Sus scrofa: one gene and its partner. The protein of the gene in region 1 interacts with the protein of each later gene in a pairwise test. Links are inferred from orthologs where the notes say so. Each region holds a gene or a part of one and is shown on either strand. Other genes may lie near its edges. The genes, in order: ZBTB9 and TSR2.

Evidence for each region.
Region 2: the proteins of ZBTB9 (region 1) and TSR2 interact in binary tests that used the Homo sapiens proteins (3 or more experiments, as listed by UniProt). The two-hybrid records come from large-scale screens. The link is inferred for Sus scrofa from reciprocal best matches to the Homo sapiens genes ZBTB9 and TSR2.

What each region holds. Positions count from the first base shown.
Region 1 is NC_010449.5:29,746,422-29,762,321, reverse strand, and holds ZBTB9 (zinc finger and BTB domain-containing protein 9), read right to left. Parts: upstream 7,594-15,900; 5' UTR 7,158-7,593; coding exon 5,751-7,157; 3' UTR 4,754-5,750; downstream 1-4,753. UniProt on the Homo sapiens protein: May be involved in transcriptional regulation.
Region 2 is NC_010461.5:47,178,028-47,193,927, reverse strand, and holds TSR2 (pre-rRNA-processing protein TSR2 homolog), read right to left. Parts: upstream 7,319-15,900; 5' UTR 6,842-7,318; coding exon 6,758-6,841; intron 6,592-6,757; coding exon 6,501-6,591; intron 3,727-6,500; coding exon 3,635-3,726; intron 3,142-3,634; coding exon 2,965-3,141; intron 2,445-2,964; coding exon 2,322-2,444; 3' UTR 1,463-2,321; downstream 1-1,462. Other genes in the region: FGD1 (FYVE, RhoGEF and PH domain-containing protein 1), read left to right, coding at 1-116, 612-917. UniProt on the Homo sapiens protein: May be involved in 20S pre-rRNA processing.

The DNA of each region.
Region 1 (15,900 bases):
TAACCTGCTGAGCCACCAGGGAACTCCAACTATGTGAACCTTTATAGTTTGCCAACCCCTGGTCAAGCACACCCAGCTACCCACTGGATAGCTTCTGGTCATTCAAATAGAATCTTGACCCACTCCCAAGTTCTATGCCTGTCTCCCACTCATTAAAAAGCCTCTAACTCAACTGCTCAAGCCAAACTCTGGAATCGTCCTTGATTTGTCACTTTCCCACAAAATTTAAAAGTTGTTTTTTGGGGTTTTTTTTGCTTTGCTTTTTAGGGCCAAATCCACAGCATGTGGCAGTTCCCAGGCTAGGGGTCGAATTGGAGCTGTAGCTGTCGGCCTACACCACAGCCACAGCAACGCTGGATCCCAGCCACATCTGTGACCTACACCATGGCTCACGACAACGCTAGAATCTTAAACCACCAAACAAGGCCAGAGATTGAACCTGCATCCTCGTGATACTAGTCGGATTCATTTCCACTGCGCCACAATGGAAACGCCTACTTTAAACTTACTGGCTTCTCATTGCATTTAAAATAAAATCAAGGGAGTTTCCTGGTGGCTCAGTAGGTTAAGAATCTGGCGTTGTCACCACTGTGGCAAGGGCTCGATCCCTGGCCTAGTAACTTCTGCACGCCCCAGATGCAGCCAAAAAAAAAAAAAAAAAAAAAGAGAGAGAGAGAGAGAGAGAACATGCATAGAACAAAATCCAAATTCCTTGTCACAATCTGCAAGCCCAGCCCCAACCTGCCTCTTTTTTTTCTTTTTTTTTTGTCTTTTCAGGGCCGCACTTGCAGCATATGGAGGTTCCCAGGCTAGGGGTCGAATCAGAGCTGAAGCTGCCTGCCTACACCACAGCCACAGCAACGTGGGATCTGAGCCACGTCTGTGACCTACACCACCGCTCACGGCAACACCAGATCCTTAACCCACTGAGTGAGGCCAGGGATTGATTCTGGGCCCTCATGGATGCTAGGCATGTTTGTTACCGCGAGCCACCACAGGAACTCCCCAGCCTGCCTCTTTAATCACACCTGCAATGAACAATGTATGTGTCCCCCAAAATCATATGTCGACATCCTAATCACCAAGGTGATGGTATGAGGAGGTGGGTTTGGGTGATTAGGCAGGAAGGTGAACACCTCACGAATGGGATTAGTGCCCTCATAAGAGAGCTGGAGCGCCCCTTTCTCTTTGCATGTGTTAAGATACAGGGAGACGAGACATCTAAGAACTAGGAAGCAGGTCCTCATGACACTGGGTCTTCTGGTGCTTGATCTTGGAATTTCCAGCCTCCAGAACCGTGAGAAACTTCTACTGTCTACAGGCCACCCAGACTGTGGCATCCTGCTGGAGATGCTGGGATGGACCAAGACAACATCCTGTTCCTCTCTGGGTCCATGGGTGCCCTCATCAAACACCTTTCTCTCTCTCGGCCTTTACATCTGCTGAACACATTACCAGAATCATTTTCTTTGCCCAGCTTTGCATGTCTGCTCTTTCTTTTCCTTTGAATCCTAGATCAGCGCCTCCCTTTTCTGTTACTCTCCACCTTATTGCCTTGCTTACTTCCTTTCCCATCTGACTTATCTACAAAGAAGCTGCATAGCTGGTTTAAACATCCTTCTCTTAAAGTGCAATCCAGAGTTGCCAGCCCCTGTGATCCATCTGCTTCTCTCATAGTGACTGGTACACAGCAGATACTTACTGACAAAGGAACAAAAAGAGGGAAGACATCCAAGTGGGTCTGGGGATCAGGAAAACTGGACATGGAAATCTAAGCATCATCTGCAATGAAATAGTTTAGCTATTTAACTATTAACACGATGAGTTCCCGTCGTGGCGCAGTAGTTAACGAATCCGACTAGGAACCATGAGGTTGTGGGTTCGATCCCTGGCCTTGCTCAGTGGGTTAAGGATCCAGCGTTACCGTGAGCTGTGGTGTGGGTCTCGCAGATGCAGCTCGGATCCCGAGTTGCTGTGGCTCTGGCGTAGGCTGGCAGCTGCAGCTCCAATTGGACCCCTAGCCTGGGAACCTCCATATGCCGTGGGAGCAGCCCAAGAAATGGCAAAAAGATCAACAAAAAAAAAAAAAAGAAAGAAATGGTTTAACTCAGGAAAGTGGATAAAAACCACCTAGAGGTGTATAAAGTTAGAAGACAGTAAAAAGAGCCCTGAAAACCACTAGCATTTATGAGAAATGTAATAATTAAAATAACATCTATTTCTTCCTGAGTGCTGAATGCCTCATTTCCTCTTTAGTTGAAATTTTTTTTTTTTTCCCCTGGGGCCACTCCCACGGCATATGGAGGTTCCCAGGCTAGGGGTCGAATCGCAGCTATTGCTGCTGGCCTACGCCAGAGCCACAGCAACACGGGATCCGAGCCGCATCTGCAACCTACACCACAGCTCACGGCAACGCCAGATCGTTAACCCACTGAGCAAGGCCAGGGATCGAAACAGCAACCTCATGGTTCCTAGTCGGATTCGTTAACCACTGTGCCACGACGGGAACTCAGAGTTAAACTATTTCAATACAGATGACGCTTAGTTTTCCATGTCCAGTTTTCCTGACCCCCAGACCCACTGCGCCATGACGGGAACTCCCCGAAAATATTTTCCCTTTATGTGACCCCCTCCCTGAAAGAAATGATTCCTAAAAAGGTGTGGAGAACTAATGTTTTTCTCATAGTAGCTGCTGACGTTTACTGAATAGACTGAGTGCAAGATACTGTTCTCAGCATTTCACGTGTTAATTCTCGCAAAGCCTATGAGCATATTAAATGCTTATGAGAAACTACACAGACAGAGGGTGAAGATTTGGACACAGAGGATGATTACCAGCAGAGGCCCTAGGCAGGGGACTAGCCTTACAGGACAAGGGACATCTCTTCCACAATAAGGAGGAAAGGAGAGGTAGAGAGGCACACGCTTAAATTTGTTTAAACCAAAATCCTGCATCATGGAACTTGATTTCCTATAATACCTAATAATTTAAATTTAAAAAAACCCACAAACTTCTGGAGTTCCCTACTTCTGCATCTACTGGTACAGCCAAAAAAACCCTCAAAAAACTCACAAAACTCCCAAACTTCTAACATAGTGTTTTAATTGGCTTTACAGAAGCAATAAAATGCTATGGGGATTAAGGAGAATTCTGCCCAATTCTGCCCTAAGTTTGGAGGGTAGAGGTGGAAGTTGGGCAGGTTTTTTTTTTTTCCCCATCTTCAGCCGCATCCAAGGCATGTGGAAGTTCCCAGGCAGGGGACTGAATCCCAGCCTTATCTGGGATCTAGGCCACAGCTATGACAACGCCAGATCCTTAACCCACTGTGCTGGGCCAGGGATTGAACCAGCAACGCCAGAGACAAGCCAGATCATTAATCCACTGCACCACAGCAAGAGCTCCAGGTTTGGTATTACCTGAACACTTAATAAGTGCCAGGTGTATTTGAGGCTTTACATATCCCAAGATGGGCAATATATGGAGACTGTATGGGTGGGTTTCTGTTCCTGTGGGCTGGCCAGCACACTCTTCTGTCCCTGAACTTCAGTCCCTTGAGGAGTTCAAGATTTGGTGTCTCAGTGGAACTTATGATCAAGGTGCTCTGCCCAGAGAGTGGACCTGAGGCTGAGTTCTCTCCTGGGAAGTTTTATCTTGAGATGAGTGACAAAGAAATGACCGACAGGGTCATCGTCCCAAAACATACGACCTGAAGACTCCCCCAGGAGTTCCTGCTCGAACCCCTGGATGACTCAGGTCTTATTCTTCCAAAGATTGGTCTTCAAGCCATTCCTCCCACTTTGGGTGCACCCCACATGCTTCCAATTCCTGTTTTGATAAGGCTAGTCAGCCATTGCTTGCAACCCAAGGATCCTGGCCCCTGGATGTAGTCACCTGCAGAACGTGTGCCAAGATGACAGGTGGGTGGCAGTGCAGCAGACCCAAGATTGGCAGCCCTCATCCCCAACCCCTCTCTCAATGCAGTCAGTCCTCACCACGGGGATGGTCCCACAGCAGGGCTCCTCAGAACCGCTGACAGATCCCAGCCAGAATTCACCTTCTCAGCCATGAAGTCACATTTTTTTAACCCCTCTAGGTTCCATACCTAAGAACTTTTGAGGACCACGATTAAAGGCCATCACTCCTGGCTCTACGGTGACTTCAACTACTGTTGACCAGTTCCGCCACCCACACCCATCACCATATTCTGGCAGTGGAGTTCTCTGTGAACCCTCTGGTGAGCCCGAGCAGGTCTCTGCTCGGTCTGCTCTGGACCACCACAGTGGCTTGTGCTCTATCTGTCTAGCTGTGCTACTGAGAAGGGAGTAGAACTCAGGGTCCAGTGCAGCGTCGCGCACGAAATGTGAACAAACCAGACAATAACCAAACCACAGACATCATGCACGAAGTCAGGGGACATTGGGCAGAGATATGCGAACCCACCCCTTTAAAAAAAAAAGACAGAGGACCAGTTAGGAGGTACCTACCACCCCGCCAAAATTTTTTTTTCAATTAATGAACTAATTAAACAGTTCAGACTCTGCAAAATAAGGCAACTTACCAGAGGCTATTCAGTGGCAGGTCAGGGTAGAGAATCTGGCCCACTCAAGTTCAGGACAGTGTTCTCTGCACCAGCCTGACACCATCCCATTCTTCCCCTGGCAACATGACCCAGCTGCATAAGGAATACATCCAAGTCCTTGCAGCTCTGTTCTCACTGTCTCTCCCACATAAATGACTCAATTCAGTTCACTGTCAGCTTTGATTTCAGGGCAAAGTTTATTTGAAGAAATTAAGACACCTACACCAATCTCCCCACTCCAATATCTACCCTTCTACCTGTCCACCAAGGGCTGTCGCGTGTGGGTGGGACGGAAGGAGAGGGGCTATGGTCCCGCTGTGCAATTATTCTCTAGTTTTCAGCATGCGCCATCTCAGCCCTGAGTCCCTCTGACCGTGACCACTTGTTCAGAGCAGTGGTGCAACCCCTGAGATGGTCAGGGGCCACCCCCTGAGTCCCCTGGTCACATTCCAGTCACCGTGATCACCTGAGTGATCAGGGGGGTCAAAGGCAGAGAAGAGGCACAGACTGTAGAGGGAGTGCCCTCCACTAAAGACTGTTCTAAGTGACCCGCAGAATGCTCGACTGGTTAAAGTGCTCAACTACAACGTACAGAGACAGGTGTTGGAAAAGTTCCTACTGGTGAGAACACAATTGAGGATCTAAAGAGCTCATGGAAAGATACGACAAAAGGAGGATATCAAAAGAACTCTACTCACATAATTGCCGCAATGATGAGGGAGGAGAGCTTAGCACTTAGTCTCTGAATTACCAGGACTCTGAATCAAATGTATCTCTGGATGGAGACCAGCTCCTTTAACTCAAAAGAGCGTGAATGAAACATTTACCATTACGGTTTTCTGCTCTAACTCTTCTCTCATCAGATCAACTACTTTGAAATACGATTTCCTGCATGAAACCATAGCATGGACAAGTGATCAATTTACGAATGGCTATAAGCCATTTTCCTGTAGGATAGTCAGCAAGAACCCGGGCTGAGAGAAGGAACTGGAACTTCCAAATCTGCCAGGTTGACGCCCACACCCAAGACCATGAGGCTCATTAATTATCTACCCTTTGGGCATGATTAACGAGACCCCAGACTGGGGTGCCAGGGTAGTGAGGATAAGCAGGGGCTCCATCAGCAGCAGGGGCTCCCTTGTCCTGGGAGTCAGCACACAGCCTCAGCAGTCACTTGTACGTCCAGTGAGCAGTGGCCCAGCCCTGGCCCTTGCACAGGTCTCGGTGGCGAAGGAAACAGGCATGCACTCGGAACCGACGGCCGCAGTGGGGACAGGCGTGCAAGGCTCCTGCGTGGGTCTTCATGTGCTCCGTCAGATGGTGCTTCAGCTTGAAGCGCTTGTTGCAGACGCCACAGCCAAAGGGCCGAAGGCTGAAGGTCAGCATGATGTGCCGGTCACGCTTCGGCTTCACCGCAAACCGCTTCCCACACAAACAGCCAAAGCGCTTTCCATCTGCAGGCGGTGCCCCCCCCAGCTTCACAGGCCCATGCACAGCCTGCCCTGCTCCCCCAGGGCCCGCACCCCCCGACAGGATTTCATTCCCATGAAGATCCACCGGCTTCCAGGATGGACCTCCTCCTCCCGATGTTGACCCTGCGCCTGAGGGCAGCAAGAAGCCCAGCTCCCCGTTCCCTTCCACGTCCCCTGCAGGAAGCACTCCGGTCTCTTCCTTCGATCCTCCAGATTGCGTTCCGCCTCCTACTATCTCCTCCTTGGGCTCAAAGGGTTCCTGCTTAATGTAGAATATCTTGGGGGGCAGCGCAGTGTGAGGGGCAGGAGGCTCCAGCAGAGCGCTGTCACCCTCTGGAAGCCTGCGTGGAGTACTGGATGTGGGCAGCGTGTGGGATCCAGGAGGGCGGGGAAAGCTCCCTGATGCTCTTGGAGGCTGCGGAGTCTGAGAGGATGCTGCCGACCTCTGGCCCTCCTCTTCCTCCTCTTCTTCCTCCTCCTCCTCTTCCTCCACTTGAATCTGCAACACCTCTCCCAGTTCACTGCCGTCCCCTACGACGGGGCTCTCAGTAGAAGCCGAAGCCTGCGCTGGGGTCTGGAAAGAGGAAGAGCGAATGCACCAGCCTCCTGGAGAGGCTGTGGTGGAAAGAAGTGCGTGGAAAGGGGTGGCTGCCCGGGCTGAAAGTCCACCACCTGAGTTCTCCAGTTCTTTAAGAATTTCTGAGCACTGATCTACTACCTGCCACATCTGGAGGCCACTGGCCACAAGCAGGTGGGCTGGGAGGGCATCCAGTGGCAGACGGAGGCGCCCTGAATAAATGAGCTGCAGCAGCCCCTCGAAGGCATCGGCTTCAATGACACTGGGCAGAGTGAGCCGTGGCGCATCCCCCAAAAGCAGCTTGTCATGGAAGTAAGGAGAGGCAGCCGCCAGCACTGCTTTGTGTGCCCGAAGCTCGCGGCCCTGAACCAGGAGGGACACGTCACAGAACTTCCCCTCCAGCCGGTGGCGGTTCAGGGCTTCCAGCAGCAAGGAGCTGTGCTGGGGGAACTCGATCTGGATCGTCCGCGGGGCAGGGTTGCAGGCGGGGGAGGGGGCCCCGGGAGGCACAGGCGTCGAGGCAGCCATGGCCTCGTGGGTAAGAGATCTCCGAGGGTCGCGTACAGGCGACGGGGCAGGCCGGCGCGGGACGGACGCTAGGAAGGAGAGAAGGGTCGCGGGAGCCGTGCTGGGGGCACCGCGTCTCCCCGAATGCCCCCGCACTGCCCCGCAGAGGAAGCCAAAACAGTCTCCACGCCAAAGCACCGACCGCGGCTTTAACCTCAAGGCCTGGGGGGGGATGAATCCTTCGGCCACGAGCCGGGATCGCCGGCCGGGTCGGCTCCCGCCCGCCGCTTCGCTCCCACTCGTGCGCTCAGACTGCCCGGCTCCCAGGCGGTCGCCGCCGGGGAGACCACGAGCGCCGGCCAAGTTCCCGCCGCCACGCCCCCGCCGCTACACACGCGGCCCCCGCGGCGTCCCGAGCGCCTCTACAGCCACCTCGCCGCCCCGACCGGAAGTCGCCGCCTCCCCGCCGGACGCCGACGCAGAGGGCGGGGCCGGAGCTGCAGCCAATCGGGGAGCGCCGATCTACAAGCCTCGCACTGATTGGTTGTACGGGAGAGGGCGATGAGGGTGGGAGACCGCGGCTTCCACCCGGACGGCAGGTCTGGAGGCCCAGCCGCAGAACGGCGCACCCCGACGGAGTGAGCGACCCGGGAGCCTTTCCGGTAATTAGATGTAGCGCCCCCCTCCGGCAGGTGCTGAGAGGGCGCGACCAAGTGGCACCCGCAGTATGGGCTAGGGAATGCTCCCCATCACCTTGTACCCTCGCCCCCGGCCACCTGCGAGATAGGTGTTGCCAATCCTGAGTCTCCTCGGGGGAAATCGCGAGCGGCGGGCCTGGGGTTGGAACCCAGATCCGCCAAGGAACCACAGTCTTTTCCCCATTACGCACGGGAGCATTCTAACCAGCAGTTAAATAAATTTCCCTTTCTAGGTGATTGTTTTGAGGTGTGCGTAAACATATACTTGGCATCTTTTATAAGGGAATGCTATGTTCCTTGACCTCTTTACTCGGGTTAAGTGGTGCAGTGGTGAGGGGAGATGGACTGGGTAAGCTGGGCCAGTGCAAAGCCCCCTCCCTCAGACAGTAAGTCTCCTCGCTGGTTGGGATAGGGATATCCTAGGGGAAGCCTGTGGCACCACGCAGGGACATAGAGTTGCTCCCAGGCTGTCAACATTCCCTTCAAAAAGCAGATCCTATCGCTCTGCTGGTCCTCCTAGAGGTCCCGGCCTAGGAAAGTCAGCGCAGCGATAAAAGAACAATCTCCGTTTATTAAACATGATTTTTGTTTCACCACACACTCCAGAAAAAAAGGAAATGGGGCTGGGAGTGGAGAAAAAGAGGCAGTGGTGGGGGATAGAGTAGTCTGGGGGTAGGGTGGGGTGGGGAGGGAGAACGAGAAAACAAAATAAAACAGGTAGGAAGAATATCTCCTACCCTTAGGGTGTGGGTGGGGAGGAAAGTCTGGGGGGCAGGGGGCCAGGAAGCTCTGTACAGAGGGGTCGCCCCCAGCCCACACACACACACCCCGGATATGTACAGTACAAACCCCAGATAATTACAACAGCCAAAGAGAAGAGGAAGGGGGAGTCCAGGGGTAGGATCTGAGGTTGGGAAAGCGAGGAAAGGGCACAGGGATAAAATTTCACATATTTACAACTTTTATATAAGTATAAATTTGGCCCCGGCTGGGTGTAGGTGTGTAGGGGATGGGACTGAAGGGGAACTGTCCATACAAAAGAAAGAAGAGTGGAGTCTGGGAAGAGTCTCAATACCAAACGCAAGAAGGGGTGAGGGACTAGGCTGGGGAGGGGGCGGCAGTCGGGGAAAAGGGGATGCCAAGGAGGGGCCTCTTCCCTCCTGTGACCTAGCCCCCCCAAACCCCATCCACCCTACCTCCCCTATCCCGCCAGAGAGCTATGTACAGAGAAACACCGAAAAATTGTGGAGCTGGCGGGAGGGAGGAGGAAGGGGATTGGGGAGGGGGGGGAGGATGAGAGGGAAGCCCAGCCCAGTCCTGCCTCCCCCCCGGGGACAGAGTCATGGAAGGGGGCCCCCAACACCCCTCCTCCAACACAGGTTCCCCCACCCTGGGGGAGAGAGACATGGCTTTTCCTAGAGTAAGTTCCCCCTCCCCCTGGGAGTAGAGACCAAGCAGAGAGGGGCAGGGGCAGGGGGGCTGTGTGTGCCAGGGGAGTTCTCCCCTACAGACACCCCCTCCCAAACCCTAACCCCTCACCCTAACCTCAACTGTGCCCCACCCAACACACTGGGGGAGGGGGGGGCATAAGCCCCCTCACCCCGCTCTGGGACCAGCCAAGAGCAGATCAGGTATGGGAAGAAGGGGAGACCACCCCCATTCCCCCCTGGCCGCCCCCTCCCTGCCCCGGTGGCCCCTCCACCCCATCTGGGTTCTGGGTGGGGAGGAAGTAAATTTGAGAGTGGGAAGAGGAGAAGGGGTTTGTGCGTGCTGAGCCCCCCCAGACGCTCCTGAGAAATCAAGGGGTAACAGGGCCCCCTCACCCGGGGTCCCCTCCCCATAACAAGGGGGACAGGGGAGGCCAAAATGGGGCGGTGGAGGGGAGTTAGATTGTCAGCTCTGGTTACTGCTAAAAAATCACCCTGAAGTTGAAAGTTTGGAGGTGCCACGCCCCCAGGGTGGGGCGAGGGTGTCCCCCAGTGCTCAGGGGACTATTGAGGCAGAGGATGGGGATAGCACCCCAGAGTGAAGGGGTCTGTATGGGGTAGGTGGTGTCCTGGGGGTCAAAGGGGCAGCACCCCAACAGGAAGGAAAAGGGGGCAGCCAAGGGTTCCTGCTCTCCCTCCTGGAGATGGTGCAGTGGGGGTGGGGCCAGGTGCCCCCAGGGGCCCTTCAGGGAGGCAATCCCGAGGTCCCTCGGCGACGTCCGGTCCTGGTGGTGGGTGCTGCTCCAGGGTGGGGTGCACGGGGAGCCTGTGATGCTGGGTGGGCTAGTGTTCTGCGGTGTTTCGGAACTCGCCGTTCTCGGTGATCTGCAGCCGGGGTGGGGGGGCGGGGCTGGGGGGGCCAGGCCGTTCCAAGGGGGTGCCAGCGTCACACGCGGGTTTGCTGGACCCAAGGGGGGAAGCTGCCTCTCCTGCAAGACACCAAAGAGTGGAGCGCGGACTTATTGAGACGCTTCGCGGGGGCCTGGGTGCCAGCCCCCTAGCAGTGGCTCCCCCACAGCCAACCCACTCCTTAAGCCACATCCACCCCGCCTCCCAGGACACCCCCACCCGCATCCTCCTAGTTTGTCCTCACCTGCAGAGCTGTTACATCTCCTGAGGCCGGGGAGAAGAGGCTCTCGCCCCTGACTCCTAACCAGGGCCTTCAACCCAGGGAGTCACACCAGGAAACCAGCAGGCTCCCATCTCACCCCCAACCTAAGCCTCGAAGCTTCTGACCTGAGGTGGGAACTTCGCGTCCAGGGAACAGGGGAGGCAGTTCAGCAAAACCTCATTAATCCAAACCCACGGGGTTTGGAATTCTTTCATAATTTGAACAAAAACTGGGCCTGAGTTTTCCTTCATCTGTGAAGAAAGGGTGTGCTAAGCAGATGAATGGTCGAAATGAGGCTGTGGGCGGAGCTGCTTCACCTCCACCAGAAGCAGACCTTTCAAGCCCAGCTACTGGTTCTGCAGGCTCCCCGCGGCCTCCTTCATCCAATTCTACTCACTGGATATGTTTTGAAGACATGCATTTCATTAAATAGACACTGTCACTCAGCCCCTCATTTATCCCAAGAGGCCATCTTCTCAAATGTAACGAAAGGCTGAACTGGACGGAGACAGGAGCTCAGGGCAGGGAGGTGGGAAGGGAATGACGTGGGTGTGTTGCTTCTGCTGGGAGCAGAACAGAAAGGACGGGACACAGCAGGCCCCGGTCCCTGCACCCCCAAGAAGCACAAGGCTCATGCCTCTCCACCTCCACGGTCCTTTCATCCCTCACCCGGGGCTCCCAGGCTGAGGGTGACGGTGCCAAACCGACTCCCAGCCCCAGCCCCATCTACCCCCTCCACCCTGGGGTAGCCGCCGGCTCCCACCCCCAGCTCTGGCTTCTGTTCTCTGCAGAGAGAGGGAGAGAAAACCGTGGATGGCTTCCACACTTCGGCTTTTAAAAATACAGGCACAAGATTAATTTTTACAGTAACCACTGAGTGGCCAAGGAACCACTACGTGACAGTGGTTTAGAAAAAGGGTCCTAATTATTTCCTGGGCCACAGAGCACTGAAGCCTGGCAGCCTAGCTGGGTTGGACCAAACGTCAAGAAGAGCAAAAACATTCCAACCAGAGGCTCCCCAGTCAGCTTGCCCTCCAAGTCAAAGAGCTCACCTCTCAGCAGGCCCCACAAGCCCAGACTGAAGCGGGCACCCTCTTGGCTTGCTGGTATCTCACACCGCCCCCCCCATGGGTGAGAGGAAGCTGCATGCGTGTGGCTATGGGGTGCCCCAAGTGTGGCAGCAGAGTGCGGGGTGGGGGGGACACCTCTCATTCCCTTCTCTCTGCCTGTCTGCTGGCAGTGGCACACAGGCATGCCCCCCACACCCCCAGGGACCCAGATTTAGAAAGGAGATAAATTAGGGTGCCATTATTCACTTAACAAAAGACTTCACTGCAGGAGTCCTTTAAATGGTGAGGTCCCCTGGTGTCTCATAGCATCTGTTTTCCAATCACTAACTACTCTGACAGAGAGGCTGGGCAGGCAGAGTTAAATTACAGTGCGAGGGGCCACTGCTCACTGCAGAGCAGGCCCACGGGAAAGAGAGCATCCCAGGACCAATATCAGTGGCTGACAGGTTCCGGTCCCTGGCTTTTTACGTGGGACTGTGTCCGGCAAGGCCACTGAAAGAGGTGGGTGAGGGACATCAGCAGGCCAGGGATGTGAGCACTTATTTAAGCTGCTATTCTGCCACCTCTGCCCAGGAATCAGCTGTCCAGCCATGGCCTCACCTAGGAGGACCCAGGCCCCACTGGCAGCTCCCAGGCCGCCTGCGCCAGCCCACACTAACATCCGCCAAGGTCCCTTTCTCACTTCTTCTTGCTCCACTCGCCCTGCCTACTGTCCCGGCAGCTGAACAGCATCCTGGCCAGGTCTCCAAAGCCACCCCAGATGAACTACCTGCTCCTAATTCACATCCAGTGGGGCCAAGGAGGGGCCCCGAGAAGCCTTCCACCTCGTGGTGTAAGGCAAGGACAGAGGTGAATGGGAAGGAAGGAAGGTTCCCTGAAGAGCTGAGGGGAGGGGGAGGAAGAGGAGACCCCCACCTACCTGCAGGCAGGTGTGCAGGCAGCAGAGCCCTCCAGCCAGGGCCCCTGCCCATTACCACCACCCCTTTAACAAACCCCCCCCCTTAACAAACCCACCCCAACGGCCCAGGCCCCAAGGACGCTTTGGTGAAATGGGGGGTGACAGACATACACTGGAGAGGAGGAGGAGGACTGAGAGTCAGAGGAGGCTGGGGCAGACTCCAAGGGCAGGGAGTGTGGCCTGGGGTGCTGGGACGGCGGGTGTCACTGCGCAGTGCTGGGGGCAGTGCCTAGGGAGGGGTCTGTGTGGTGTCAGAGGGTAGGGTCTGCGGAGGTTCCCGGTGTGAGGGCGACAGTGAAGGGGAGAGGCTCCGGAGAGTCAGAGGGGAGTGGGCTTCATGACCAACCTGCAGTGGTCCGGAGTCACCTCCCCCTGTGTCCTCCGCCCGTGGTCAAAGCGGAACCAGGAGAATTACCTGATGAGGAGCTGCAGGGGGAGAGAGTGGGGTCATGGGGTCAGGAGCCTTGGTGGCGTGGCGGGGAAGCCTGGAGGTCAGAGGAAAGAGGCACGTGGGTGGGCAAGTGGGCAGAACTGGGGGAGAACAAGGGGGAAGGGGGAGGGAGGTCCTCAAGGCTGGTGGGGGGGTGGAGGGGAGGCAGCAGGGGCCAGAGAGCTTGGCCAGTGTGAGGACAGAGGGAAGGAGGCCGAAGAAGCTGGACTGCACCACGGAGGGTGGAAGGGGTGCCCGGGGGAGCCCTCAGGATCTGAGGAGTTGGAGGAGGAAGCTAAGCAGAGCTGTCAGGAGTGAGAGGAGCTAGGGGCCAAGAGGACCCCAAGCGCCCAGGGTGCCAGCCAGAGCCTGAGCCTGGGGAGACTAGGCCTCGCACTGCCTGTGCCCCGTGCCAGCAAACTGCAGCCTCGGCCCTCTGGCCCCAGGAGAGCCCCAACTGGACCAGGAGCGGGCCCAGACGCGCAGGCTCCCAGGAAAGGGGCGGGCTCAGAGGGCAGAGACTGAGGTTCTGCTGGGAGGCCCTGAAACGCAGCTGGGGTGGGAAAGATCGGGTGGGGCTGACGCTGCTGGGAGTGACAAAGGCACAGACCGTGGGATGGAGATGGGGCCGCGGGTGGACAGACAGAGGACGACGGAGAGACAGATGGCCATGGGGCTGGGGTGGCAGTGCAGTGACAGCACAAAGGACAGTGGGATGGATGGGGATGGGACACGGAGAAGATAAATGACATTGTAATTTCCACCTGAGCGTCGAGCAGCCTCTTCTTGGGTTCGGGCAGCGGCTCAGCCATGGCAGGGTGGTCCCGGCGCAGCTCCTCCTCCACCAGCATCAGCCTGAAGGGACGGGCTTCAGTGGGGTTAGTGGCGGGCACGCCGGGAGCCTGCCTTTGCGGCTCCTGGTACCGAGAAGCCCCCGGCCGCCTCCTCCACGCAGTTCCCCAAAGACACCCTGCCATTCACCTTCCTCCAGGGACGCTTATGGCCCTGCTAGGGATGGGCTTCTGTGCCTCAAAGACCTCTCCTGCTGGACATTTGGGCACTCCTCGCCCCTATTAGGACCTTGCTCCCCACAAGCTGCTATGCCCCCCACCCCCAAGCCACCGAACCCAGCCCAGCCCATCTCCAGGGCAGCCCTGGATGCTCTCGCCAAGGGAAGTCTTTGCAGTCATCACTCTCAGTGTCTGCCTGTTTTTGAGCAACCCTTCTCATAAAGGCTGTCGGAGCAACGGTTTTCAAAAAAGTTTCAGGTCAAGCCTTTTTCTCATTAACATTACTCAAAAATACATTTTCTGTTTGGTTTTGCTTTTTAGAGCCACATCTGCAGCATACGGAAGTTCCCAGACTAGGTGTCTTTGGAGCCGCAGCCGCTGATCTACACCACGGCTCACAGCAACCCCAGATTCTTAACCCCTGATCCATACAGGGATGGAGCCTGTATCCACAAGAATACTTGTCGGGTCTGTAACCTGCTGAGCCGCCACGGGAACTCCCCAAATACATGTAGAATGGATAGAGATGGAGCTGGCGCTGGCTAGAGTGGGGCCCCTGGGTCCCACTCAGTTCTCAGGATACGGAGGTGTCCTTGTTGAGACGCCTCCTTTGGAGCCCAGGCCTCAGCAGAGCAGTTGAAATTGTGCGCAGGCTAAACCAAATGTATCCACTTTCTAATGGATCACTCTTTCAAGGTCAGAGAGGGAGGGTGTGCCCAGCGGGGGACCCCTGCTTAGGTTTGGCGAAAGCATCACAGGTTGGCTTGAGAACAACCAGTGGAGAGTCCCAGCCTAGGCCGGGTCCAGACACACAGTGACGGCTGGACAGTAAGGGGTACACTGTCCAAGGGCTTCAGACGTCACTCTATGGGAGAGAGGGCAGGGTTCAGCAAAGGGACGTTTAGTGTACTAAGCAAGGCAACCTCTCTAGCTGGGGCCAGGGCTTGGGGCAGCCCAGGAGGGGGTGGTGGGCTTTCTTCCTGGTGTCCTGAGTGGAGTGCTGCAGGGGGAGCTCGCTGGCCCCCTTGAGGCCTCAGGCTTTCCCTGGCCACCCTCCCCGGGCCGCCCCTCACCTGCCAATGATGCTCTTGATCTGCGAGTCCTTTTCCACCTGCTGCTGCCTGAGCCTCTTCTCGCTCTGCTCCAGCCGGGCCTGATACTGCATCAGGATTTTGCTGGTCTGCTCCTCCTGGGACAGCAGCCGCCGCTCGTACTCCTCCAGCTTGCGGTTGGACATGTGCAGCCGCTCTTTGAGTGAGTGGATCTCCTCCTCGTACTCCTTCACCTGCCCGCCGGGCACACGACCCCGCACTGTGAGGGGCTCTGTGGGCCGAGCCTTCCAGCCGCACTTCCAGCCCCTCCCTCACACAGACACACAGACACACACACACACACACAGCCGCTAAGAAGGCCCTTCTGTGGGGCTGAGGTTCCCTCTAGACGGAGCAAGATCCGAGACCCCAGACCCTGAGAGGTCCACGCTTGCACACAGACTCCAGGACACACCCTGAATGCATTTTGTCCTCCACTTCCAGTATTGCTGGAAGTAAATCGATAAAAGGCCTGAAGATATCCTCTTAGTTTAAGTCCATCTAAATCCATCCCAACATTTTCCTTTGCTTAGAGACCACTTCCCCTCAAAACCTCTCTGCTCCCCCAAGCTGGGGTCATATATTCTTTACACATAATCCTGCAGCAACGGCTTCCCCCAGGGACTTTGTGCTAATAAGCAGGTGGACCCCACAGCTTTTGCTGTCTTTTGCTCTGGACCACCACATGCCACTCTGCCCCACACACACGCTGACCCCCACGCCTGTCACTGTTGCCCTCAGGACGGGGCTGGGTAAGTGGTACCATGGCCACCTCTCTGCCCTCACAGCTCACACTGCTAGTGAAGCAACCTCGCCCTTCCCGAGCAGTCCCAGGGGCCAGGGCTTAGATCCCCCTTGGGAAGAACAGGAGGCCAGCCAACACAGCGCATGTCCCCGGGCGTTCCACAA
Region 2 (15,900 bases), on another chromosome or scaffold:
GCGTCATCTGCAGCTTCCTGTACTACATGGAGAAGGGCGGGAAAGGCTGGCACAAGGCATGGTTTGTGGTCCCTGAGAACGAACCCTTGGTGCTGTACATCTACGGAGCCCCTCAGGTGTGCATCCTACTCCTTTGGGTCCTTTCAGCCATCTGGCAAAACCAGGCTGCTCTCCTTGGCCTTGGAGGATAGGGTAAACCTAAGGGGAAATCAGAATCCCTACCCTTGTGAGACAAAGATTGGCTACGGACAAGGAGTGGGTCAACATTTATAGGGAAAAATGGGGTGAGTTGGGGGGGCGGTTAGCTTCCTGGAGAAAGCTGGAATAGAGACAGGGCACTGCTTGGTCCAATTTGGAGTGAAGAATATGCACATGGGGGCAATAGCCCAAAGGCCTGAAAGCATTATGAGACTAACCCAGCTGGTTTGGGGTGTGGTAGGAAACAGGTATTTGAACCAACCTGCGTTGTAGCCCCAGTTCAGACATTTTCCTGTTCTCAGTGAAGCCACAGAAGGTTCTAGAGCAGAGGAAGGAAAAGAGGTTTAACAGATGCAAACAAAACCAGTGAGCCTAGCCCCAAGGTGATCCCTGACTCTGTCCCTGTTCCTCAGGATGTGAAAGCCCAGCGCAGCCTGCCCCTCATTGGCTTTGAGGTGGGGCCTCCTGAGGCTGGGGAACGGCCTGACAGAAGGCATGTCTTCAAGATCACCCAGAGCCACCTGAGCTGGTACTTCAGTCCTGAGACAGAGGAGCTGCAGCGACGATGGATGGCTGTGCTTGGCCGGGCAGGCCGTGGGGACACGTTCTGCCCAGGGCCTACATTGTCTGAGGACAGGGAGATGGAAGAGGCACCGGTGGCAGCTTCAGGAGCCACTGCTGAACCCTCTGAAGCCCCCCAGACCCGAGACAAGACCTAGAGGGTTTGTGGGTAACTGGGGTCCCAGCCCCCTCCCTCCCAGCTCAGTCAATACTTGAACTCCCATCATGGGCACTTTCAATCCTGAATGCTGGGTCTTGGGCTTTTTAATTCATCTTTTCACAAAACCTGGGCTTTTAAAAAAGTATTCCTACAGTGATGTTAATTTTTTTTTAAACCCTGTCCCCAGGGAGTGTGGGAGCTGTTGCTAGACCTGCCTGAATTAGGCCATTTTTCCCCAACCCCTCAATACCCTACAGATCCTGCCTCCACCCAATTCCCCCCAAAGCACCGGAGGCAGGAGATCTGGATTCAAGTGCCAGCTCTGCCACTGACCCCATGGTCCTGGCCCACCCCTGCCCCTCAACCAGTATCTTCACACATGTGATGCTAAGCGGGGTGGTGACCAGACCTCTCCTGCCTCTCCCATAGCTTTTAGCTTCTACCCGGCCCCAAGGCTACCCAGTATTTTATGGTCCAGACCCATGGCAGGGCCACCGGGCAGGACAGGGGAAAGGGGGAGGGGGGAGGACAATGAATACTCTGTTTTGTTTTTTTAAAGAAAAATACAGTTTATTTCAAGCTTACAGAAACTTTCAGAACACTGCTGTGCTCCATTCGTCTGTTTGTCCAAAGTACCAGGCTGCTAGAGTGGGCCCAGAAACTGCTCCCTTGCTGAGCTCTAAAGCTCAGCTCTCAGAAAGCTGATTCCAAGGCTACTCACAAGTCAAGCCACAAATTAAACAGTAAGGTATTATTCATTGAGGTCTTAGGCCTCATCCCGGGACTTAGATGGGATAAGGAGTTCAGAAAGAGGTTGGAAGAGACAGAAAACAAAGCCTGGGTCCCCCAAGCTCGTTGCCTTGTCAAGGTCATCCTGAAGGAACTCAGGGCTGGACACTGGGCTGCAGGAAGGGAGTGTTCCTGGGAGGTTCCAATTTCTGGGCAGTGGTACAGAGGTGCCCTGTAGGACTGGGGGATGAGAAGAGGGAGAGGTACCACAGCTACTTTCATTCACATCCTGACCCAGCAGGAATATTGGTTCTCCCTGGTCCTCTCCCTTTACAATCCACTTGCCTGCCATGAACCAGCATTTAGCTTCTCCAGTCAGTCCCACACCTCTCATCCCTTCTTCTTCACCCTGACTGCACCCAAGAGGCACTTTGCTGGGAAAGCATCCCTCATCACTCAGACAGTAACTCCAGGCCCTGGTGAACCAGATCCCACCAGCCCAAGACCAAGGACCCTAGGGCTCTTCTCCCCCTGGAAGAAGCTGTACAGGGGAATGGGGAGAGGGTGGAGATGAGGAAACCAGTCCAGAGGTCCATAACCCTCCAAAACACCCCCCTACACACAAGTCCCAAAACAACTAGCAAATAAGGACCCAAACCATTTCTGGCCCCACTCATTTCTTTCTCCGGACAATAGTCCAGCCATCCTCTACTATATCCTCTTCCTTAATAGTCTGGGAGTCTGGTGGCTGGGGGCAGACCCCATCTGTAACTGCCCCATCATTCATAGCTGCAACCTAGAAGAGAAATAAAGGAGAGAGCTTAATACAACACCTCCCTGGAGTTCCCATCGTGGCTCAGCGGAAATGAATCTGACTAGCATCCACGAGGATGTAGGTTAGATCCCTGGCCCCATTCAGTGGGTTAAGGATCTGGTGTTGCCATGAGCTGTGGTGTAGGTCACAGACGCGGTTCGGTTCCTGCGTTGCTGCAGCTGTGGTGTAGGCCAGTGGCTAGAGCTCCCATTTGACCCCTAGCCTGGGAACCTCCATAATGCCATGGCCATGGCCCTAAAAAGACCGAAAAAAAAAAAAAAAAAAAAAACCAAAAACCCCACAACATCTCCAAGCTGTGGCCGACGGAAACCCAGGTTCTCCTCCCAGCTCTGCCAGGACTGTCTATATGACCTTAGGAAAGTTTCCTGCCCTCTCTGGATGATACAACCACCACCACCCAATCACTCCCCTGGGGAACTAGGTGATCTGCCAGAAAACTGAAAATATCTGCATCTCCCCACCCAAGAGGCATCCCTCTCACCTCCATCTCCTCCACGCTGTTTGCATCATCCTCATCTTCATCAGTCTCTCTGGCTGTAGTTAGTGCAGTGGCTCTAACTTTGCACTTTCTTTGTGTGATGAAAGAGGCCATTTCCTTCAGAGCAGCCCTATCACCCCTCTGGAGGTGGCGGAACATGGTCTGTAGCTGCTGGCTCACCTACCGAGAAAACATTCAACCAGCTTGGATTTTCTAAAGAACCTACAATACAACCAGCCTGTGTTTGCGACAAGAGTGGGGAGGAAGAGAATGAGGCTCTTTCCTCCCCAAAGAGTTCACTAATGAAGCAACCACATATGAAGGGCTCAGTAACTGCCTGAAGCATTGAAGGAGGGCCCCCTAACGGGGAAGGCCCTAGAACTGGGTTTAAAAGATGAAAATGTAAACACAGAAGGCAATCCTTTGATGCAGGTGCATGGATGTTAACCAAAACATGTCAGGCATGTACCTGGCCTGGGAAAGGATTTGAAAAGCAAGATTTGAAAGGCCAGGGAAAACTAGACTTTTCTTTAGGCAACAAGGAATCATAGAAAGTTCTTGCACAGGACTCAAGAAAAGAATGGTTACAGCCAAGAGGGTTGGTTTAAAACAGACAGTTGGGGAAGAAAGGCTGCAGGCAGGGAAATGGCAACTGTACCCAAGATATGCTCACCTGGGGCAGACTCCCATCTTCCACAACCGTATCAAACTCATTCGTCATGAGCTCCCCGAGGAAGTCCTCCACCTCCTCTAGCTCCAAGTCAGCTAAGTAGGAAAGGATAAGGCTCTCTGATCAAAGACCAGCCAACTTTATCACACTTGCCCAATACTCTTCAATACATACCTAGTGGATCCACATCTGCTTGGTTAGTAAAGGTTCAAAAGTAAGCCTTTTATTTGCTGAAGTACTCTACATTCCAGATTTTAACATGATTTTAAAAAAGAAAAAACAAAACACCAAATAAAACACTTGATTTCCAATCTCCTGCATCCGACCAAGCCTTCTCTTCCACACTCACCCTCTTTCATCTGGCCTATTTTAACCAGCCTTCCCTCTACGTGACCTTGAGCATGTTACTTATTCATCTTCAAGCCTTGGTTTTCTCCACTACAAAGTGAGACTAATGGTAACCTCATTGAAAGTCTGTTATAGGGAGTCACCCAAAAAATGCCTAATGCAGGGAAGACCCATAATCCATGTTAATTTCCATCACACAAGGGCTGAAGTTTTTGAAATCTAGAAATTATTCACGATTGTGGCTTCGCCAAACAGGAGGCCAGAGACCAATGGGTTAGGTAAGAAGAGATGGACGTTGAGTACTTCAAGATGAAATCATCACAGCCTTGGCACCAACATGCTATCATGTGACTTTGGCAGAGCCCTCCTCTCTCGGCTTCAGTCACGTTATGGTCCTATACTCTACTTTTTCTGAATTATAGAATAACTCAAGAAAGTCTTCCACAAAGCTCCTTGCTCTCTCTTCCCTCTGGGAGAGCTCCATTCGCCTCCTTGGCTTTCCCTACCACTCGAATATCCCCCAAATTTGTCTCCAATCCACACTACTCTCCACCTATTTAGAGGGTGCCTCAGACCCTCCTTTCCCAAAGCCAGATTCATCACCTTACCTTCCAAACCTACTTCTCAATCCTCCAGGGTTCTCCTATTCCATAAAAGGTATCTGAGCCACGCAACGACTCAAACCAGAAACCTGCCTCATGCCCCCCCCCACTCCTCTACAGCCAAACAATTTCCAAGATTCTAATCCACCCCTTCTTTTCCGTAACTATTGCCACTGCCTCATCATCTTCAAGACAGAAACAGTCTTCTCATCAGTTGTTCCCTCTCCAGTCCAAGCTCCATACTGACTACTTTTTTTTTTTTTTTTTTTTGTCTTTTTGCCTTTTCTTGGGCCGCTCCCACGGCATATGGAGGTTCCCAGGCTAGGGGTCGAATCGGAGCTGTAAACACTGGCCTACGCCAGAGCCACAGCAACTCGGGATCCGAGCTGTGTCTGCAACCTACACCACAGCTCACGGCAACGCCGGATTGTTAACCCACTGAGCAAGGGCAGGGACCGAACCCGCAACCTCATGGTTCCTAGTCGGATTTGTTAACCACTGCGCCACGACGGGAACCCCATACTGGCTACTTTCTATAGCCAGTAAACCCCATCCTATTAAATCCTGCTCATGAAGTTTTATCTCCTACTGCAGTGTTTCATATTCTGCTTATAAGACGTAACTGTCCTGCTGGACTTTAAGGGAAGCTATTCATAGAAAAATCATGGTAAACAAGTTTCTTTTTGGTGGTTCTTATCAGAACCTTTAATATGATAATGATTATGGTGACTCTTAAGAGCTGAAGAGCTTTTTTTATATCATGTGACTGGAGAAGTGGTTTCTTCACTGAACACCTAAAAAGAACTAGTCTTCCATAGCATATATTTTTGACAAATGCTGGCCTAAAGGATAAAATCAAAGGCCCACAAATCCTTCCATGTTTCACCCTTTTCCAGGGGCCTCCCCAACCAACCTCCAGCCTCATTCTCTATCACTCCCCCCTCCCACACCCCCACAAGCACACCATACAGCCCTACTCTAACACTGAGCTCCCTGCCACTTTCCAAATATAACACATAATCTCCTCATACCACAGAACTTATTTTTGAGTGTTGCTCTGCCTCTCCCACCTAGTTAACTCCTTCTCATCCCTTAAAACTCACCCAAAAGCCACCTTACCCTAACAATCTCCAAAAGAAGCCTCTTCCTCAGTCTCACATTACCCAAGCACCCTGAGATCTTTATTAGAACACCTACCACCCTGTGAGTAAAAACCTATTTACTTATCTAGATCCCTCACCAAATAATAAATTTTTTTCAGAGAAAGGTCTCTGCCTAATGCCATCTCCAAGGCCAAGAAAACTAAGTGAATAATTTAAAAAAAATCATACTTCACAAAAGATCACCTAAAGGGCCCCTATTCTTATAGAACCTACAAGACACATCAAAGGTGTAGATCTCTGCTGTCCAAATAATCAAATGTGGTTACTGAGCACTTAAAATGTGGCTAGGCCAAGACAAATTGGGATGTGATAAAACTGCAAAACACCCACCAGATTTTGAAAACTTAATACTAAAAAAAAATGTAATACATCTCGTTAATAATGTTTTATATTGATTACATGTTGAAATACTTTGGATATATTGAGTTGAACAATATTCATTTCACCTGCTTTTTATATCAAAGTGGTTGCTGAAAAATTTTTAATTACATGATGTGACTGGCATTATATTTCGATTTGGACAGCGCTGGTGGATACTTTCATATCCATGTTACAAATTAGGAAACTGAGTCTCAGGGGAGTAAAACGACATATCCAACGCGATACAAGGAGTCAATGGCATGGCCCTAAGGCACTCGAACTCAGGATTCAGACTCTGGTATCAGCAGACAATTGTTCAAGAGGAAGTGCAGATTCACCAAGACCGCCCTCCTCCCCGCGCCCCTAAACAAGTCCTAGGGCCTTAAATTCACTCACCATTGCGGAAGAAATACTCCTCCACTGCACCCCCTAGCCACTCAGCCTTCTCCTGGCTATGCACACCTCCAAAGCCGTTCTCCACAGCGATCTGCGAACACAGGCCCGAGCCCACCACGTCAGCCCAGGAACCGGCCTGCGGTGGCGCAAGGGTCCGCTTCTGACGCCGCCCAACCAACTAAGCCTTGGGCAGCTCACCGGCCAACTCCTGTTCTGGCCCGGTCCCTAACCTTTGTTCCAGCTGTGTCCTCGCTCACCTGCAAGGCGGGCCAAGCCTCCAACGCTGCGCGGATGCCAGCCCGGAAAAGCGTTAGAGACTCCTCTGCAGCGCCCGCCATCATCCTGCTGCGGACCACGTGACGCCCAAGCAGGCCAATCCCTGCGCAGCACCGCCCAGGCAGAAGGAGTAGGAAGCCAAGCTTGAGAACGCAGATTCTCCCTTTCCGCTGATCTGGCAGCAAGACTAGAGCAATAGAAAAGTCTGTCGAGTAATCGATGACACCGCCCGGGTTACTCAAGAAGTGGAAGACGCTTGGGGCCGAGAGTTCCGGACCCGTGGGTATTGCGCAGAAAAGATGTGAGGAACTTATTAAAGATAAAGGACAGAGGAAGCAACCTCAGGTAGCATAGCCTAAAAGTCTGCATTTAGAAATGCATCCTAGGAGTTCCATCTGTGGCTCAGCGGGTTAAGACCCCGACTCATCTCCATGAGGATGCGGCTTCAAGCCCTGGCTTCGCTCAGTGGGTTAAAGGATCTGGCGTTGCCGTGAGCTAAGGTGTAGGTCTCAGGCACAGTTTGGATACGGCGTTGCAGCTGCAACTCCAATTCGACCCCTAGCGGGGGAACCTCCATATGGTGTAGGTGTGGCCCTAAAAAATAAATTAATTGATTGATTAAATAAAATAAAAAAGAAATAAATAACAGAAAGACATTTGTGAAATTCACAAATAGGTGGGAATTAGTACACTTCTAAATAACTAATGGGTCAAAGAAAAAAAAATCGGAAGACGTCTTGAAATGACTTGAAACTAAAGCAGGGCAAGGACCAAAATTATGATCAGTGCTCAGGGTGAATCCACACTTTGAAGGGCCTGAGGCAGATAGAATTTTGTAAGCCCTCTTTAAGAAAAATAGTACAAATTTAGGTGTGCAAGTAAGTATAGCTTTAGATTTATAAAAGAAATTTTTAAATTTACAAATTCCAATTTTTTTTGGGGGGGGGAACATGCCTGTGACATGTGTTAGTTCCCAGGCTAGGGATCCAGCTGGCACCACAGCAGTAACCAGAGCCACAGCATTAACAATGCTGATCCTTAACCCACTGAGCCACTAGGGAATTCCTACAAATTCCAATTAAAAAAACCTGACAAATACCACAAACATCCTCAAAACTAGAGAAATAAAATAATTGCCTGACTCACCTCTCTACTAATTTTTCCTTTATTTTTTATTTTATTATTTTTTTTTGGCTGCCAACATTTTGATATCTTCCTGTAAATAAATAGGACAATTATTTTATAATAACATTTTCAAGAGAGAATAAAAAGAATTCAATTGCATTCAGTTGATCAAAATTTTTTATTATTGTAGTTTAGAAAAGTTTCAACTTCACAGCTCATTGTTAGTAGAATAAAATTTAAGATTGTGTTAAATTTGGGGAAACCTCTAGTTTCTTTTACATGTGAGCTATAAAATTTTATGGTACTTTGTTTTTGTGCAGCAATAATTGTCTCAAATTGACAATGCTCAACAACCAGGGGCTTGGAAGTGTCTTGTGTAAGTGTGAGTTACTAGAGGCTTAAACTTTTAGTTATATTATTTCTGTGATAAATCCATCTCTATGCAATGCTAGAGGAGAAAGGAGCACAGGAAGCTATGGGAGTCCAGCAGAGGGGGTTTCTGATCCAGCCTTGGGAATTATGGCAAATCTCTCAGAGATAATGCCTCTGACTTAAAAGTTTGAGTGGAATTTTCCCAGGGGATGAGGAGTTTGTGTATTTGAGGATAGAGGTATGTTTCTAAAAGAAAGAAAGTCTTTCATGCTGAGGAAACAATCTATACAAAGAAAAAGAATCAGGAAACAACATGCTGTTTGATGATAATTACAAGCATTCCCAGACTGATAATCTCAGGAGGCATAAACTCCTACAGAGCTCTAGAGATTCATTCCTGCAGACTCAGCAATTTAAATTTGAGTTCAAAGAAGCCCAAATAAAGAAACTGAGATTAAGCACTTCCCTGTGAGTTCCCAGGGCCTCAAACATACCTGGAGTAGGGAAGATTCTTATCACCAGTTGTAGGGTATATGTGTTGAGTTTTCCCACACCACCAAGCGATTCTTCAGTATCAACTGGGTGTCCTACAATTTAACTCAATTTTGATACTGAAACAGAAGGGAAGGGGGAAGGGCACGAACTTTAAAAAAAAATGACAGAGCTGTTGAGGATACACAAAAACTGGTTAGAACCAATCAGGTCCAAGATGGTGGAAGATTCAATTTCCATTAGACCTTGAGCCTCATTATGCACTCATTGTAATACATTAACAATCCCCTCCTTTGGGTTTGATTAACTTGGCTAGGTTCGCTCACAGAACTCAAAGATTACTAGATTATCTGTTTATTATAAAAGGATATAATTCAGGAACAGCCAGATGGAAGATATCCATAGGGCACAGTACATGAGAAGAGGCAAGGATGCTTCCTCTGAGCGTACCACTCTCATGGCATCTTTTTGTGTTCATCAACCCAGGAGCTCTCAAAACCTGTTCTTTTGAGGTTTTATGGAGGCTTTGGTAAAGAGGCATGATTGATTAGGCCATTGGCTATTGGTGACTGAACTCAAACTCTAGCCTCTCTCCCCTCCTCTAGGTGGAGGGGTGGAAATGAAAACGCCAACCCTCTAATCTTTTATTTAGCTCCACAGACAACCAGCCCTCACCCTTAGGTTACCTAGGGGAATTCCGAAGGTCATTTTATTAACATAACAAAAGACATCTCTTATCACTCAGAGGAAATTCTGGAGATTTTAGGAGCTCTGTGCCAGGAAGTGATTGAAGACACAATGTATATTACTTACTATAAATCACAATATCACAGTAGACCTGCTAGAAATTCCCACACATGGAACCCAATTCTGAGTTCCAACAAACCAAGGTCTCTGAAAGAACCCTGAGAATTAGCCTTGAGACTGAAGTCCAAAGTTGAGTATACCAAGTGACAGACTTCACATTTTCTGTGCCTTGAACCCATCTAGCAAGCTGGTGAAGCCAATATATTTCTTCCTGGAATAATGTTTTTAAACGCATAAAATAAAATATAGAATTACAGAAGGAAACCAATTATATTAAAATAGTTACCAAAATATTATAAAAATTAATCGTAACATAGGTTTCTTTTCTTTTTTTGGTCTTTTTGCCATTTCTTGGGCCGCTCCCGCAGCATATGGAGGTTCCCAGGCTAGGGGTAGAATCAGAGCTGTAGCTGCTGGCCTAAGTCAGAGCCACAGCAACACGGGATCGGAGCTGAGTCTGCAACGTACACCACAGCTCACGGCAACGTCAGATCCTAAACCCATTGAGCAAGGCCAGGGATCGAACCGCAACCTCATGGTTCCTAGTCGGAATCGTTAACCACTGAGCCACAATGGGAACTCCTAGGTTTCTTTATCAATGCATTAAATATTATGATCTACTAACAAGTTAAATGACTACTATGATTTCAAATTAATTATGAATGTAAACAATATTTTAAGAGCTCTGATAGGAAAAATATCTGTACATTGGTGACAAAGTCTTTTGTACTGCCAGTACTACTGTGGTTGGTTGCCTACATACATGATTTTTTTTTTTTGTCTTTTGTCTTTTTAGGGTTGCACCAGCAGCATATGGACGTTCTCAGGCTAGGGATCCAACCAGAGCTGCAGCCGCCAGCCTACGCCACAGCCACAGCAACACAGGATCGGAGCCCCATCTTAGACCTACCCCACAACTCACAGCGACACTGGATCCTTAACCCACTGAGCGAGGCCAGGGATGGAACCTGAGTCCTCATTGGTACTAGCCGGGTTCATTAACCACTGAACCACAGTGGGAACTCCTCTACATACATTATTGAAAGAAATGCCAAGCTTCAGTGGAGGGTAGTGAAAATAAGATACATTTTTTTTTTAGCATCCAAATGCTCAGACACTAAATTCTATGCATGACACTTTATAAATCCATAAATGCCAGGTTAAATACAGCTAATCTAGACCCTACTCTTGAGGGACTACTTCAGTTAGTTTAAGCCTTCAGAGTAAGATGAGCAGATTAATATGTCGGAGACTGAACTCTCAAAACCTAAATCAAAACTTAATCCCCAGCATGAGACCTCAGACTGAGCTCCAGACAAGTGTGGACTGAACTGCCAAACTGAACTGCTAAAGTGTAAATGCAGAGAGTGCCTCTGGATGAATATTTTCAGACTAGGACCCAGCTTGGGTTCTAAGACAGAGCCAACCAGACAGAGATCCCCAGATAAGATCATCACATCAAGAAACCCCAGGCATGACTCCTCAGGCTAAAATACACCGGATTTAGCCCCCAGTATCTGAGCCTCCCAAAGCTAGCCAGACGCAGCCACCTAGACTGAGTCTTGAGCCTGGCACTCACTTGGAGAGAGTTTCAGCCATATCATAGATGAAAACTGAAGCTTCCATATTGAATCCTCAAGTGTCTCAAGAGTGAACTGTCAGCATTAAACCCTCAAAGTCAGATTCCCCATACTGAGCCTCCAGGCAGAGTCATAGGACTAAGACACCAAACGTAGCTCCTTGAAGGAGAATGGGGGTGATATCTTGGAAGTGGGCCCAGGCTGAGCTCCCAGAAAGAGCCCTCACACACTGAGGCCAAAGATACACCCACCACTGAAAGTATGGACTGATCCCAAACAGATTCCCTCAGACTGAAAACCCAATGTCTGAGCCCCCAAATAACATGCCCAGAATGAGCCCTAGAGTGAGTCCCCAGAGAGAGCCACCAGCATGCACCGCATAGTAGCCATGATAATATATCTCATAGACTTTAAACCTCAGGGAGCATAAGTGATCAAGAACCCCTGTTGCTGTGTTCTGGAATCCATCCCTTCATTTGTACGGAGACCATGCTTCTTGCAAGTTACTCCCAGCTAATGACTGAGTATGGCAAGGATACTTTGGTGACTTTGGTACAAGGAATTGCAGAGAGCCTTGCCAAACCTCCCTTGTACTGCACAAAAGTCTAGAACACCTTCGCTCAACGTTCCCTCCTTCTCTCTTTCATTTGGGTTAGACTGCAATATGTTCTAATGGCTCTCCCAGCCTTCCATGGCACCCACCCCATTTGATCTCATGGACATTTCCCCTGACAAAATTGTTATTCACTTAATCCCATCTTAAGTCTGCTTTCCAGAACTAGCACAAGCTCCCAGGCATGAGACTGTGAGGTTAATTGCTCCAGGCTGAGCTTCCAATATTGAGAACCACAACTTCCACTTTTAGAATGAGCATACAGATTGAGATCAGGAGACAACATGCTTCCAGATGAACTTCCAAGTTCTCAGCCTTAAACTAATACCCTAGTCTGAGTACTCAGGCATGTATGGAAGAGGGAGCAACCCAAGTGGACCCCAGTGGCTGCCAGATAAAACTCCTGCCCTGAAAACTTTAGGCTAATGTTAGCAGAATTAACTGTCAAGACTGAGCCCCCAGGCTGAGTCCTAGAATGAGCTCTTCTTAACAGACCCACCCCTCATGAGAAAGCTCCCACACTGAGCCCCTAGATTGAGGTACCAATGCCTGAACTTTCAAAACATGTGCCAAAATGAAGTGACCAATAAGGGATTAATCTCCAAAATATACAAACATGTCATTCAGTTTTATATCAAAAAACCAAACAACCCAACTAAAAAATTTTCAGGTGATCTAAACATTTCCCCAAAAGAAGAGAGAAGGCCAAAAATACAAAAAAAAAATGTGAAAAATTCTCAACATCACTAATTATTAGAAAAATGCAAATCAAAATTACAATGAGGTATCATCTCACACCAGTCAGAATGGCCTTTACAAGCAATAAATGCTGGAGATGGTATGGAGAAAAGAGAAACCTCCTATACTGTTGGGAATGTAAGCTAGTGCAACTATTGTGGAGAACAGTATGGAAGTTCCCTAAAAAACTAAATATAGAACTACCATATGATTCAGCAATCCCCATTCCTGGGCATATATCCAGAGAAAACCATAATTTGAAGAGATACATGCACCCCAATATTCATTGCAGCACTGTTTACAGTGGCCAAGACATGGAAGCAAACTAAATGTCTGTCACGGAGGAATGGATCAAGAAGATGTGGTACATATACACAGTGGAATATTGTTCAGCTATAAAGAAGCATGAAATGATGTCACTTGAAGCAACATGGATGGACCTAGAGGTTACTATGCTGAGTGGAGTGAGCTGGACAGAGAAAGACAAATATCATATAAAATCACTAATGTGTGGAATCTAATAGAAATGATACAGCAGAACTTAGAAAACATAAACAGACTCGAGTTTCTAAACCAAATTTGTGTTTGCCAGAGGGGAAACTTGTGGGAGAGGGATAAATTAGGGGAGTTGGGATTTATATATACATGCTACTATATATAAAATTGACAAGTAACAAGGACCTACTGTATAGCATGGGTAAATTTACTCAATACTGTGTAATAACTTATATGGGAAAAAGAGTCTAAAAAGGAATGGATATATGTATGCGTTTAACTGATTTACTTTGCTGTACACCTGAAATTAACACAGCTTTTTGGGTTAACTGTATTCCAATACAAATTTTTTTAAAGAAAATTTTAAAAAAAGACATGTACCAAAAATGAATCCCTGGACAAGTATCCAGAGTGGGAGGTCCTAACAATCCAGACCGAGGACCCTACTCTGAATCCCAAAAATGATGACTGAAGGCTAATCCCCAAAATTGAGCTGGTTTGCTTAGATTGAACCTCCAAAATCTGGGTCCACAAATCCAAGCCCAAAATGAAGCACCAGAGGCTCTGACAGACCTTGACTGAGACCTCCAGAATCAGGCTCTTAGACTGAACTCTCATATTGAAATACTAGAATGATCCCCCAGTCTGAGAACCTCCAGACTGAGCCCCTATGAAAGGAATATCAAGAATGGGATTCTGTAGACTGAACTTACTAGACTGCCTGCATAGACTGAGAAATTGAACTGAATCCTTTAGATAAAATTCCTGCTCTGAAAACTTTAGGCTAATGTTAGAAAAATTAACTGCCAAGGCTGAGCCCCCAGGCTGAGAATCCTAGAATGATCTCCTCTTAACGAACTCATCCACCCCACAAGGAAGCTCCTACACTGAGCCCCTAGACTGAGCTACCAATGTCTGAAATTTTAAGGCATGTGCTTGAAAGACCAAGCTTCTAAGACAAGGTCCCCTAACTGCGCTCATGAAACTGATTCCCCAGAATGAACTTCTAATCTTGCCTAAATTCATACCCTCAGAATCAGTACTCAAAATTGCATCCACAGTATCAGAGGCTCAGACTGAGTATCCCAGGCTGAGACACCTTTGTAGCAAGATTGCTAGCTTCACATTCCAATTTACAATCTCCCTTTCCTCCTTTGGAACAAACCCTTATTTTTAGAGTGGGCATAAGTCCAGCTAAAAGACTATGTTTCCCAGTCTTCCTTGCAACTGAGTACAGCCATGTGATATACCCTTAGGACATGAAATTTATTTATTTCTCTATTTTTGACAATAGTTGTCTTAACATCTGTGAACTGATACCTCAATATGGGTTTGATTTGCTTTTCCTAACAATTAGTGACATTGAATATCTTTTCATAAGCTTCTTGGCCAACTGTCTATTGCTTATTTATTTATTTTTTAGGGCCGCACCCACAGCATATGAAGGTTCCCAGGCTAGGGGTCAAATTGGAGCTACAGCTGCTGGCGTACACCACAGCCACAGCAACGCAGGATCTGAACCACGTCTGTGACCTATACCACAGCTCACGGCAACGCCAGATCTTTGACCCAATGAGCGAAGCCAGGGATCAAACCTGCAACCTCATGGTTCCTAGTTGGATTCTTTTCCGCTGAACCATGACGGGAGCTCCTATTGCGTTTCTTTTTTTTTTTTTTTTTCTTTTTAGGGCTGCACCTGTGGCATATGGAATTTCCCGGGCTAGTGTTCGAATTAGAGCTAGAGCTGCCAGCCTACACCACAGCCACAGCAAAACAGGATCTGAGAGACATCTGCCACCTACACCGCAGCTTGCAGCAGCTTAACCCACTAAGCAAAGCTGGGGATTGAACCCGCATCCTCATGTATACTAGTCAGGTTCTTAACCTCATGAGTCACAATAGGAACTCCAGCCAAGAGATTTAAATGGAAAAGAGTGGAGGTTCCTTGGGACTGTTTTTACGTGAGAGAAATAAAGGATTTTGTCTTGTTCAAACCATCATTACATGATGGTTTTCTCTTACATGCATTGCATCTCTGATAAGTTGCTGAGCCCTCTGTTGTCTGAGCTACAGTGACTCCTCAACATTCTAAAGCTAAATCCTGATGCTGAGTACTCAACAGTGAGTGCTCCAGACAGAGATCTTGACTGACCAGTACCATGAGATTGATCCCTGGTACTAAGCTAGTAGTGCCTGAGCCCCTGGACAGGCAACCATAAGGTAGGTGACCCAAACAGTTTCTAGACCAAATCCCCAAAATGGTGTTTCCAGAACAAACACTCTGCCTGAGCCCCTGAAGAAGCTCCCCAGGCTGTGTACAAGAGATTTAGTTTGCAGAATGAAGATTCAGATCTCCAGACTGAGGCCACGCTGAGCCCCACCCTCAATGAAACTCACAGTACCAACATCAGAATGAACTGCTGAATGGAGAACCAGTCTGTTACATCTAGAGTGAGCCCCTTGACTGTGCCTGGTAGACAGGGTACCCCAGTTGGTGCCTCTAAACTTAGTTCTCCAGAGTTAAATTCCCAGATAGAGCCCTCTGAAACTGATCTGCCAAACTGAGGTCCCAAGTTTGAGTCCCTCAGTCTAAGACTCCAGATTGACCTACCTGCAATGACGGCCACTCAGGTTGAACCAAATATAGGTCCCCAGAGTGAATGCCTAGACTAGGTCCCTGAAATCTTCAGATTGAAATCTTCAGTCTAAGCCCCATCCTGAAACAAGGAAACCAGTGATGATATTGAAACATCTGAGACCTGTGTTTCTGGAAAGCAGCATGGTCAGGACATTCTCCTACTCTTTTGTGCTCTGAGGAAGGGCTAACTGCAAAGGACTTCCCTGCTCCTATGCAGTCCAAGATAAGGCTCAGCTCCACCTTTCTTCAATGACTCAGATAAGA